Linked DNA regions of Neurospora crassa OR74A. The protein of the gene in region 2 purifies or fractionates together with the protein of the main gene of each other region. This does not show direct contact. Links are inferred from orthologs where the notes say so. Each region holds a gene or a part of one and is shown on either strand. Other genes may lie near its edges.

What was found. The genes of interacting proteins can lie anywhere in the genome.
Region 1: the proteins of tim50 (region 2) and tim44 purify together in Saccharomyces cerevisiae (affinity purification with western blotting; 3 studies listed by BioGRID, with this or other methods). This does not show direct contact. The link is inferred for Neurospora crassa OR74A from reciprocal best matches to the Saccharomyces cerevisiae genes TIM50 and TIM44.

What each region holds. Positions count from the first base shown.
Region 1 is NC_026501.1:4,983,081-4,988,332, reverse strand, and holds tim44 (mitochondrial inner membrane translocase subunit TIM44), read left to right. Parts: upstream 1-2,003; 5' UTR 2,004-2,206; coding exon 2,207-3,111; intron 3,112-3,161; coding exon 3,162-3,837; 3' UTR 3,838-4,388; downstream 4,389-5,252. Other genes in the region: NCU03231 (mitochondrial chaperone BCS1), read right to left, coding at 1-290; NCU03230 (mitochondrial ribosomal protein subunit S18), read right to left, coding at 873-2,003. UniProt on the Saccharomyces cerevisiae protein: Essential component of the PAM complex, a complex required for the translocation of transit peptide-containing proteins from the inner membrane into the mitochondrial matrix in an ATP-dependent manner.
Region 2 is NC_026501.1:8,624,734-8,629,985, forward strand, and holds tim50 (mitochondrial import inner membrane translocase subunit tim-50), read right to left. Parts: upstream 3,352-5,252; 5' UTR 3,081-3,351; coding exon 2,082-3,080; intron 2,018-2,081; coding exon 1,394-2,017; 3' UTR 894-1,393; downstream 1-893. Other genes in the region: NCU02944 (hypothetical protein), read right to left, coding at 1-76; NCU02942 (hypothetical protein), read left to right, coding at 5,161-5,252.

The DNA.
Region 1 (5,252 bases), about 3.6 Mb from region 2:
AGGTTGCGGAGCCGCGTCAGTCGCTGGGCGATGAAGCCGGTGTTGTCTCGCGGCAGCGCCAGCCAGGCAAGGACCCAGTTATAGGAAGGATCACGCTTGCTGATCTCGACATTGACCAGCATCTGACGTTTCAGTAATCCGGCACCACGGATGGCAGCCCGGCGACCAAAGGCGGCGGCGGCGCCAAGGCCGGCGAGGCCCATGCCACCGGCGAAAACGGGATTGTTGAAGAGCACATCGAGGTTGAGAATTGATCCCGCTGTAAGCGGGGTTTGCGGATCGGTCGACATTGTGGTCGAAGTTCTCTATTCTACATGGCTTTGCGGAAGAGGTTGAAGGCCGAAAAGGGTCGGCAAGAATTGAGAGGGCTCCGGGTCGGATGAGGTCTGGGATAAGGTGGAATTCATCCGAATTTGGTTAATGTTCGACGTTTAGCTCCCGTCGCCGGGAGCCATGCCGACAATTGAAAATTTAAGTGGGTCCAACAGTACGGTTCTTGCCGGGCTGCCGGTACCTCTAGATTCCCAAGAGGGACGCTACAGTACAGTATCGGAACCAAGGTAATCCAACGATTCGGTGTTCCTCGCCGTGGTCTCCAATGCAATGGGACATCCGGAAGCTCATCCTTGGGCCATGTACAGCAACAAATACGCTCTCTGAGCCTCAAAGCACCCTTTTAAATGTCATAAGAAATGAAGAGAACAGAACCTGGAAGCGGATCGGCATGCGGTCCCCTTCCGGGTATCCTAACATGCAATTCAATGACAGATTCTTGTTTATACATGACATGTACACGACCGCCAGCCCATTGCTGCCAGCCAGGCTGTGACGGCTCCCCATCCAATTCTGTCCCCAAGACCAGCTGCACTCGCTTAACCCAAACGTCTGGGCTTCTTGCTCCTTGTACCACCGAACTTGAGGCGTGTGGCATCGCTGACACGTACGATGGAGCTGCGCAACATCCTTCCTTCGTTTCCAAGCAGAACCTTGATGACCGCCTCTCTGCCAGGGCCGAATCCTCGTAAGACCACCTCCATCTTCTTGATCTTATTGTGCAAGTTCATCTGATGCATCTTGTCTACCACGTAGGCGCCCAACTGATATGCCGAGTCGTAGTGTTTGCGGTTAGACTTCTTGAAGCCAAGGTTGCCGCACGAAAGGGATATGAGAGCGTCGCGGTTTGGCTTGGTGACGGTAATGTGAGTGTTGTGCTTGTGCGAGTAGATGTGGAAGTGGTATGGCTCGTCCTCGGTATCCCTCAATCCAATGTTGGTTGCAAGCTTGTCACCGGTCAAATCGGTGGGATCTGCGGCCATGCCGACAATGCCCCGAGTCAAAGACTCCATCAACTTGGCTGAGCTTTCGGAATCGGCGTCCCTCCTGGCGGCGGTCTGTGAGAACGCCCGCGTCCATACTGGCGTGGCGCTGGGGAAAACGGGCTTGTTGAAGGCCTGGAAGAGGTTCTGCGCCAGAAGGCGGCCGGTAGAGAAGCGGCTCATCTTTGCTGGCCAAATGCTCCTCGGAGCTGTCGCGACGGTGGGGTGGACGACAAAGGAAAAGTGACCTTGAATGAGCTGGTGGAAGAGCAGTTGCGCACACAATGCCGGAGTTGGGGGAAGCGAGTCGTACAGGTAGTGGAGAGACCGTGGCTCCGTGGTGCGCGGTGCGCGTGCGAATGCCGTGAGTGGGTGGCTCCCGTCCCGTTCGCCGACCGGAAGTTCAAAGGTCCTCGAAATTTTGAGTGGATGGCCGCGGGGCAGGCAACGCAAGCGGCACCGCTGCAGAATCAAGGGCGACCATGAAACCGGTCGGCGGTGGGGCAGGCACTTTTCTTGGCATTGGTAACAAGGGTGAGCCGACAGCGGGGGACTGAACGAAATGTTCTGGGGCAGTTTTGGAGCAGTTTTGCGGCCGAGCGGGGGCAAAGAAGCCAAAAGATTTCGGGGGACCCTCGGTGTCCAGCCGACCAATTCAGCGCGTATTGGATCGATTTGCCCGGCCATTGGCGTTGCAGCAGAATTTCCACCGATCCATTTTCCATTAGCTTGCGCGCAAATTCTAAGTTCTGTCCTCGGCCCTTGCAAGATTGCCCTCCGTCCGCCAACTTTACGCACTCCACTCCCGTGCTTCGACTTGTTGTCTGCATCAGCTTGAAGGCTCCGTCTCCCAGGTTTTTCCGCAGGACGGTCCAGCTGGGATAGCAAACATGAACGCATATAGGCATGTCCTAAGGACGTCGCCGGGGGCTCCGTTGAGAGCCACGGCCGTTCCTCATACCACCCATGTCAGGTCACCGGCGACCAGCCGGCTCTTGTCCAGCCGCGCTTCCCGTGTCAACACCACCGAAAGTCGCATCTCTCCCGCCACGCCCATCTCCGCGCAGGAGATTCCTCTACTAAGGTCGCCTTTTACCCCTAACGCGATACAAGCCCGCTCGTTCCACGCCTCGTTCCGCGCGCTGCAGCAACAGGAGCAGCCTAAGCAGCAAACGCCAGAGACCGAACCCAAGGCGCAAGAAGAGCCCACTGGAAAGAAAGAGTCCAAGTCTGAAGAAGCAAAGGAGGAGGGCGAGAAGTCAGAGGGTGAGCCCAAGAAGGAAAAGAAGGAGGATGCGCCGCCTCCACCTCCCCACGGTGACAAGACTCCCTGGCAGGTCTTCATGGAGACCATGCAGACCGAGTTCAAGCAGTCTCAGGAATGGAACGAGTCGACCAAGGCATTGGCCGCCTCCGCCAACCAGATCGCAGAGAGCGAGGCCATTCGCCGTGCACGACAGGCGTACGAAGCCACCTCTGGTACTGTTTCCTCTACGGCTGGCAAGGTTGTCAAGACCACCGCGACTGCCGTCGGCAAGGGTGCTCAGTGGACTTGGGAGACGCCAGTGATGAAGGGAGTGCGTAAGGGCGCCAACATCACCGGAGAGGTTCTGGACAAGGCAACGAAGCCTATCCGCGAGACTGAGGCTTACAAGAACGTGAAGGACGTCATCGATGACGGAAGCAGCTCCAGATATGGCGGCTGGGCTGAGAAGGAGGAACGTAGGAAACGCAGAGAGAAGTGGCTGAAGGAGTCAGCTGGCAAAGGCCCTCAGATCCTTGAGGAGGATCCCAAGTAAGAACAAGCCCTGCGGACATATCTGGTCGATTTGCTAACTGTTGCAGTGCCGGAACCAACGTCACTCTCCACAAAGATGCCGCTTGGAAGGAGGCATGGAGGGATTTCCGCGACTCCAACAAGTTCGTCCAGAATGTTTTCGGCTTGAAGACCGTCTACGAGGAGTCGGAAAACCCCCTCATCTCCACTGCTAGGAGTATCACCGACAAGATTGGCAGTTTCTTCGCCGAAAACGAGACCGCTCAGGTCATCAAGAAGCTTCGCGAATTGGACCCCGGCTTCAACATGGAGAATTTCCTTATGGAGTTGCGCGAGTACATCCTTCCTGAAGTCCTCGAGGCGTACGTCAAGGGTGATGTTGAAACACTGAAGCTCTGGCTCTCGGAGGCCCAGTACTCCGTCTATGAGGCTTTGACCAAGCAGTATCTCCAGGCTGGTCTCAAGTCCGACGGACGCATTCTCGACATCCGTGGTGTTGATGTTCTCAAGGCGCGGATGCTTGAGCCTGGCGACATTCCTGTTTTCGTCATCACTTGCAGGACTCAAGAAGTTCACGTTTACAAGAACGCCAAGACTGGAAAGTTGGCGGCCGGTATGGAGGACAAGGTTCAGCTTGTGACCTACGCCATTGGCATTACTCGTATTCCTGAGGATGTCAACAACCCCGAGACCAGGGGTTGGAGATTGATCGAGATGCAGAAGAGCGGGCGTGATTACATCTAAGCCCGCATTTTTTCCAACGAGCGTGTCTTTTAAGGTGAAGGAGCACGCTTTTGCCACATCACCACTCGGCGTCGAGCGCTTGTTTATGTTCACTACACTATTATCGGTTGCGGCAACCAAGAATAAATGTATCATACCAAAACTGGGATCTGGTCGCATGGGGGCCATTGGGAGTTTCGGAATCTTCGTCGCACATGTATAGAAAGGCAGGCTACGGAGCGGGCGCCTTGAGCATTTCCAGCATAAACACACCACTCTGAATAAGGGCATACGGATCAAAGATTGGTGCCATGACGAAATGGTCACACTGTACAATATAATAGCGGGACTGAGGGCAGTCACAAAAGAGCTGTGGAGCGAAACAGATATAGGCGTTTTGAAGCGATACCCGCTTTTGTACAGAACAATGACATTGGTTCTTTGGATAGGACGTTGGTATCGATCCTCTGCCTGTGCTTGAATCATCTCCCCCCTCCCGAGCCTCCTCCGTTGGTCTGTTTTAAGCTGATTAACCGCCTCCAATGGCCTATAGTGCTTGAAACGAATTTCATTAGGCAATCATACACCAAGGTACCGTGCGAATGTAGAACATAACTGAGACTTGGTGTCGTTAATTCTCTCGATTCACCCGATCTCACATGTGATAAGCCCCAGTACATTGATCGAGACAGTCAAGTGACCGGATCTCAGCAAGACAAAAACACGCGCACGCCGAAAGAAAATTCTCCAAACAAAAATTCAAAAATCAAGGCATCTGGTACAATGTTGATGCAACAAAAACCAAATAGCTTTCTGAGACTCAAAAAGTCAAAAGAATTGGATGCACCGCGGATCGAACGCGGGACCGTCTGTAGAGCAAGATAGAAATTTCAATGCAAAACAGAAATCATACCACTAGACCATGCACCCATGGTTATTAGGCTGTAACCCACTGATACCCTATATTGTATGAGCACAATTCTATCCTCAAGCGGCACCATATGCTTGCCATTTGCGCCTCATAAACCAGCGCTTTTCTCGGCAGCATTCAACATCAACTGTCTACCTACACACAATTCTTGAGGTGGTCTGCGTCGCGTCTGTCCCACCCGACTCGCATACCTATGCTACACAGCTCAGGTACGGGGCCGAAGGGCGCGGCAGGTATTGTCTCTGGTCTCGCGATGCTTGACGATGATCTCTCCTGGGACCGGAACCCGTGGGCTTGCAATTAGAAGCCCATCATTGCCGGTCATTCATGTACGCCGCCTCCCTCCTATGAACGTTGTGTTGCCACACAATGCCCATACCCATTCCCATCTGGCACGAGTGTCGTTCCAAGCTGGGAGTAGGGCAACGCCATTATGCGCTTCGTCACTACTATTTACGGGGTCTGACGAATCGTTGATCTCGAGCGGTCTGGACTGATTGATGGC
Region 2 (5,252 bases):
CGAGACATCCTGGAAGGGAGGGCAAGGCCGAGGTGGTGACTGCCAGGGTCAGGGCAAGAAGGGAGTGGATATGCATGTTGTTGGCGGCGGACTAGCCAGTGGACTTGGTTGAAAGTGTCAGAAAGTTGTGTTGAAAGGATTGAGGAGTGGTGAGGATGTCAGGTTGGAGGTTGGAATTCTTTCGACACTGCTGAGAGGAGATCGTTGTCGTTTATATGCTTTGCTGCTCGCTCATTTTTGGTAGGCAAAACACCATGTGTACCAAGATGATCGAAGTTGTAATGTCCGCTTCTAGAAGAAGCACAAACTGTAGTGATTGCTTACTGAAAGGGCGCAAAGTGGCGAGCCGTTGCGGTTTTTCGGACCAGTGAAGAAACTTCGAACCGAAGCACAGCAGTAGTAGCTATCTAGAGTAACCTCCAAGTTGGGTAGAACTCCAGATCTATGACCTCAAGCAGTGCAACGGTTCTCTGCCTACTGGATGTTCATGGCTTGTAAGATCTGGGAGCAGTGACCAGAGGGACTTGCCAACATACCTGGTGGAAAGAAAAGGTCTCCAGACATTGATAAGTGACCCTGGACACAAAGATCCGTATCTCGACTGTGCTCCTCACAGTTCTGACCCGACGGCGTGGTCAAGAGGGGTTCGCTCGAATGCGTAACATTTCATCGAATTAGTATCGGCTATCCTACCCCTGATCGGGAATATGTCAAGGATGACAAGTCATAGTCCTCGCAACACTGGACGATGAGATGTCCAATGCAATAAGGTGTTGAGTTGTGCCAACCCAAGCTCAATACCAATGACTTTCTTTAATAAAGCACCGGGTTCGACTGGTGGGACTGTGCTCGCTGACAATGCGAGGACAGATATTTATCTCGCTTAACGCGAGGCGGCTTCGATAACGAGAGAAGGTGAATGAGCTAGTGGGTGTTCTTCGATTAGGATGTTCCCTCGACTTGCGGTCACACAGTAACGTGCTCCTGGCATCACGAATAAAATGCAGGGAGGCGAACAGACAAGACTTCTTGCTGAGAAGGGATGTTTGCCCGAAGTGATATGGAAAAGTGTTGGAATTGTCATAACTTTTTTTCGTTGAGAGACATTCTACAGCACCTCTAGAGCCACACCCTCAGACAGATTATGTAGATGTATGAAACCTTCTCTTTCCTAAGTGACCCACGCCTATTCCAATGCTCCGCATGTGAAGGAAGAATACCATGACCGGAGTAGAGAAGTCCGGTAAATCCCTTTAGTGACGCCAATCATAGACAGAGAATGGAAAATGGAAAAAAGAAATAGCACAAGACATGGTAAAAGTACAAGAAAATGGTCACAAGGTGTTGATACATATCGTCGCGGATGACTGAGGGGGCGGATTCGTTTGGTCGATTAGGCCTTCTTCTCTGACTCGCCGGACTGCTGCTCGCCGCTGGGAGCACCGCCGAACCAGCCAAAGACGGAACTCTGCATGTTCTTCATCATCTCTTTCTGGGCCTTCTCCTGGGCCTCCTGCTCCATCTTGAGCCACATCTCGCCGTTCTTCTTGATCTCCTCCTCCATGGCCAGGTAGTTGCGCATGCCGCGCTCACGGGCAATATCCTGGATCATCTTGCCCTTAGCAAAAGCCTCAGAAGGATCCTCCTCGCCCTCCATGGCCATGGGGTTCAGCTTGCTAGGCTTGATGCCGAAGCGGGCGCCAAGCGAGCCCAAGCCAGCCTTCTTGGCCTTGGCGGCAACGAGCTTGTTGTGCTCAGCGCGGGCAATGGCCTCTCTACGGGCAAACTCGGTGGGGATGTGCTGGCCCTCGAAGGACTTGAGGACCTTGCGAACATCGGGGAAGTTCATGGTGTGGATGAACTCGAGGAAGGGGACGAGGGACACGAGCTCGGTATCCTTGGGATCACCCTTCCACTTGGGGAGGACGATGGCGTTCTCGGGCTGGGCGCGCACGTGCTTGGGGTCGGTATCAATGATGATGACCTTGGACAAGTCTCTGTTGAGATAAGAAAGGTCCTGTGCGACAATGGTTGGTTAGCTACCGTGATGGTGCAATCTTGACAGCTCTAGGTGGTCCTACCTTGACGATCTCGCCATCCTTGTACTTGGTCGCCTCCCTAAAGAGGGGCCACATGATGAAGCGGTACGGGTCCATCTTGCGGACAATAGGCTCAGCGTTGGCAAAGGGAACGCTGGTGAAGAGAACAATCTCGTAGTACTGGCTGAGGTAGCGCAAGAAGTAGTCGACACCAGGACGCTTGGCGAGACGCCAGCCGTGGTCGCGCGTCCACTCGCTATGCACCAGCATATCTTCCAAACTGATACAGAGGGTGTACGGACGCTCGAATGACGGATCCGGGTCGGGTAGCAGCTTCTCGAAGGCAGGTTCCTGGTAGTAGCTGACGGTTCCAGTCATCCTGGCCTTGGCCCTCTTCCACCACAGGCCGAGACCCCAGCCATTTGGTATATCATGGTGCTTCTCAAGCTCCTCCTCATCCCATTCCCTTCCCAAGTAGATCGTTCCACCCACCAAGGCGAGACCAGCGGCAATGAAGGCCCAGTTGGCCATCTTTTGGCGGCGCTTCTCAGTAGAAGAAACGTAGGCAGAATCGGGGAGCTGGCCCTTCTTGCGGCCGCCACCACCGCTGCCTGACGTAGCGGCCTCAGGGCCCTCGGCGCCCTCAGCCTGTGTCTCTGCCTCCTCACCGGCGACCGGCTTCTTGCCGGCCTCCTTCTGGGCCATCTCATACTCTAGGGTGGTGGGAATACCACCTCTTAGATCGGGGAGCTTGGACAGGTCGATTTCGGGTTCGGGTTCGGATTCGGCTGGGGTTTGTTGTTGCTGCTGTTGCTGCTGCTTCTGCTCAGCTTTCTCGGATTCGGCGGGCTCGGGGGCCTTGGGAGTAGCCTTTTGTGCGGGAGTGCTCTCGGGCTTGGAGAACTTGGGAGGCTTGTTGTCCTTGGCCATGGAACGGGTCCAGACGGCGGGCAGGGTGCGCTGCGACAGGAGAGGCGACGCCGCGTGAGCTGCAACACGCGCGCCCGCGATGGAGCGCACGGCAGCTCTGGACAGCATCATGACTGATATTGGTTGGACACACAAAGGGCAGCAGCTGTTTGGAGCTGTGTGGTGTCGAGTGTCCCCTAGTGATGGAAACCGGAGGTGGATGGATGCCCGGGTGGTTGCAGGAGGGGGGGGGGGGGGAGCTGGTTGCTGCCTCTAGGTGGTGGAAACAAGTGACGATAACAGTAGGATAACGGAAATTCAGGGCGTCGTAGTCAGTTGCAGTCAGTCAGTATCCGCTGGGCCCGATAGCGATATGATATCCCAAAACCAAACTTTCCAATTCCACAAACTCAAGCTTCCCGCCCCGGCCGGCTGCTCGCCCAGAAAAAAACTTGAGTCCTGAACCTTCCGTCACAACGCTGCTAGTTGAACTTCAGCCTTGGCGCGCTTCTTTCGGTCCAATCAGACACGAAGGAGGGGTCTGTCGCTGGATCTTCCAAGGCCGCCGTGCACAGACCTTTGATGTTCTGAGAGTTCTTGTTCCCGGCCCCAATGGCCCCACATACGGAGTTAAGCGTCAAAGACAGTGGGGGACATGTCGTCATCTTTCAGCTTGTGGTTGTTGCATGGATGGATGACAATCACGTCTTTGATCTCCAATTCACCATCTCAACTCCAATATGGCTTAAAAGATAAAACTCTTGATCTCGTCTCCAGGAGACTATCTATTACGACAGGTGTCTGAGATCCTATGTCGGTTGGAAGATTCGGGCACGATTTGACAGGTGTCGTTTATTGGACTGCAGATACTGAAAACGTCAGACGACCGTGACACTATGTACTCTTCCACTGGCATTGCGCCTACAGACGGGATGCTTTTCGACGAGCAGATTACTGTTGCGTGGAAAGGAGCAAGTATAATTTGTAAATGAAGGGAGGTTGCGAACTAAACAAGTACCGGGCATTCAAAGGTATGACTGGCTCTTCGATAACTAAAGCTCTTCTGAGCCATTCAGATCACTTCGCTCTTCTCCTAACCACACAGTTGCTATCTAAACGACGGATGGAAAGCTTGGGTGACCTGACTGACGACTTGATCACCTCAAAAGTCCCCCAGGTGAACCATATGCTAAGTGGATGTTTTTTTCTGTTACAATCCAGTTCAGTAGTTGTACCTCTTGGTGATCCAGGCCATTTGTGTGATTTCCCTACTCTACCCCTAACCCTCTTGCTATCCGAGTACAGCTTATGTAATGCGTCGGTCAAAGCAAATCGTCTGCACACTCAGCGATACAGCGATGCCGTGTTTTGCTGTGATGGACATCCAATTGAACCATTCAACATCATCCACTCAGTTGCCTTCCCCTCACCTGCACTTCTCGGTAGGTAGGTGACCACTTCTTGCTCGTTTTGTTTCTGCATCGTTCTAGCAAGCCGAGACGGAACCGAATCGATACAATTGACGAATCTTCTTTTTAACACAACACTTGCCCTCTTCTGCTCCCAACCCATCTTCTCTCCTTCCCACTCCCGTCTTCTCTGTTTCTTCTGGAACATATCATCATTCATCCAACGCTCGAACGGCTGCGGTGATCCAAGCACAAACGCAAAGTCCACTCCTTCCCCGCCACCCGAACCGGCATTATCAATCATCCAAAAAAAAAGTCCAGTCCGCGCTCTACAACTCCCTGCCACTTACCATTCCAACTCCCAACTATCGCCGCCCACCATGGCTTTCGCGAATGCATTCTAGAGGGTGGTCCAGTCGTTGCGCATTCAGTACTCACGATGGGACCACCCTCTCAGAGTTCTGCGTACTCAACCACACACACAGCCTAGACATACTACTTATCATCGACGCATCGAGCTTAAAGCCAAGAGTCAGAAGAAACTGAACCATCTCAGAACCGATCTTTTATCCTTCCAGATTCCTACAACATCCACTTACATTCATCTCCCACCCTTCCCAAACCCTTGACATTCAACATTTGCCACTTCGCGTTCCGAAGGCACAGTGGCGCCAGTCAGCCCTACAGACTGCTTATTCGTGTTTTGCCAGGATCGCGATATCATAATCACCACTACTTCTACTTACCGTATCTCTCAACCTTCTCTTCGCTTGCCCTGTCGTTAGACGACGATCTACACCACAATGCCTCGCAAAGCCACCCAACAACTAGTGGGGCGTAGAATCACCACGAGGACGTCCCGTACCGTCGCGACCGTCGTGGACAATTCGCTTCA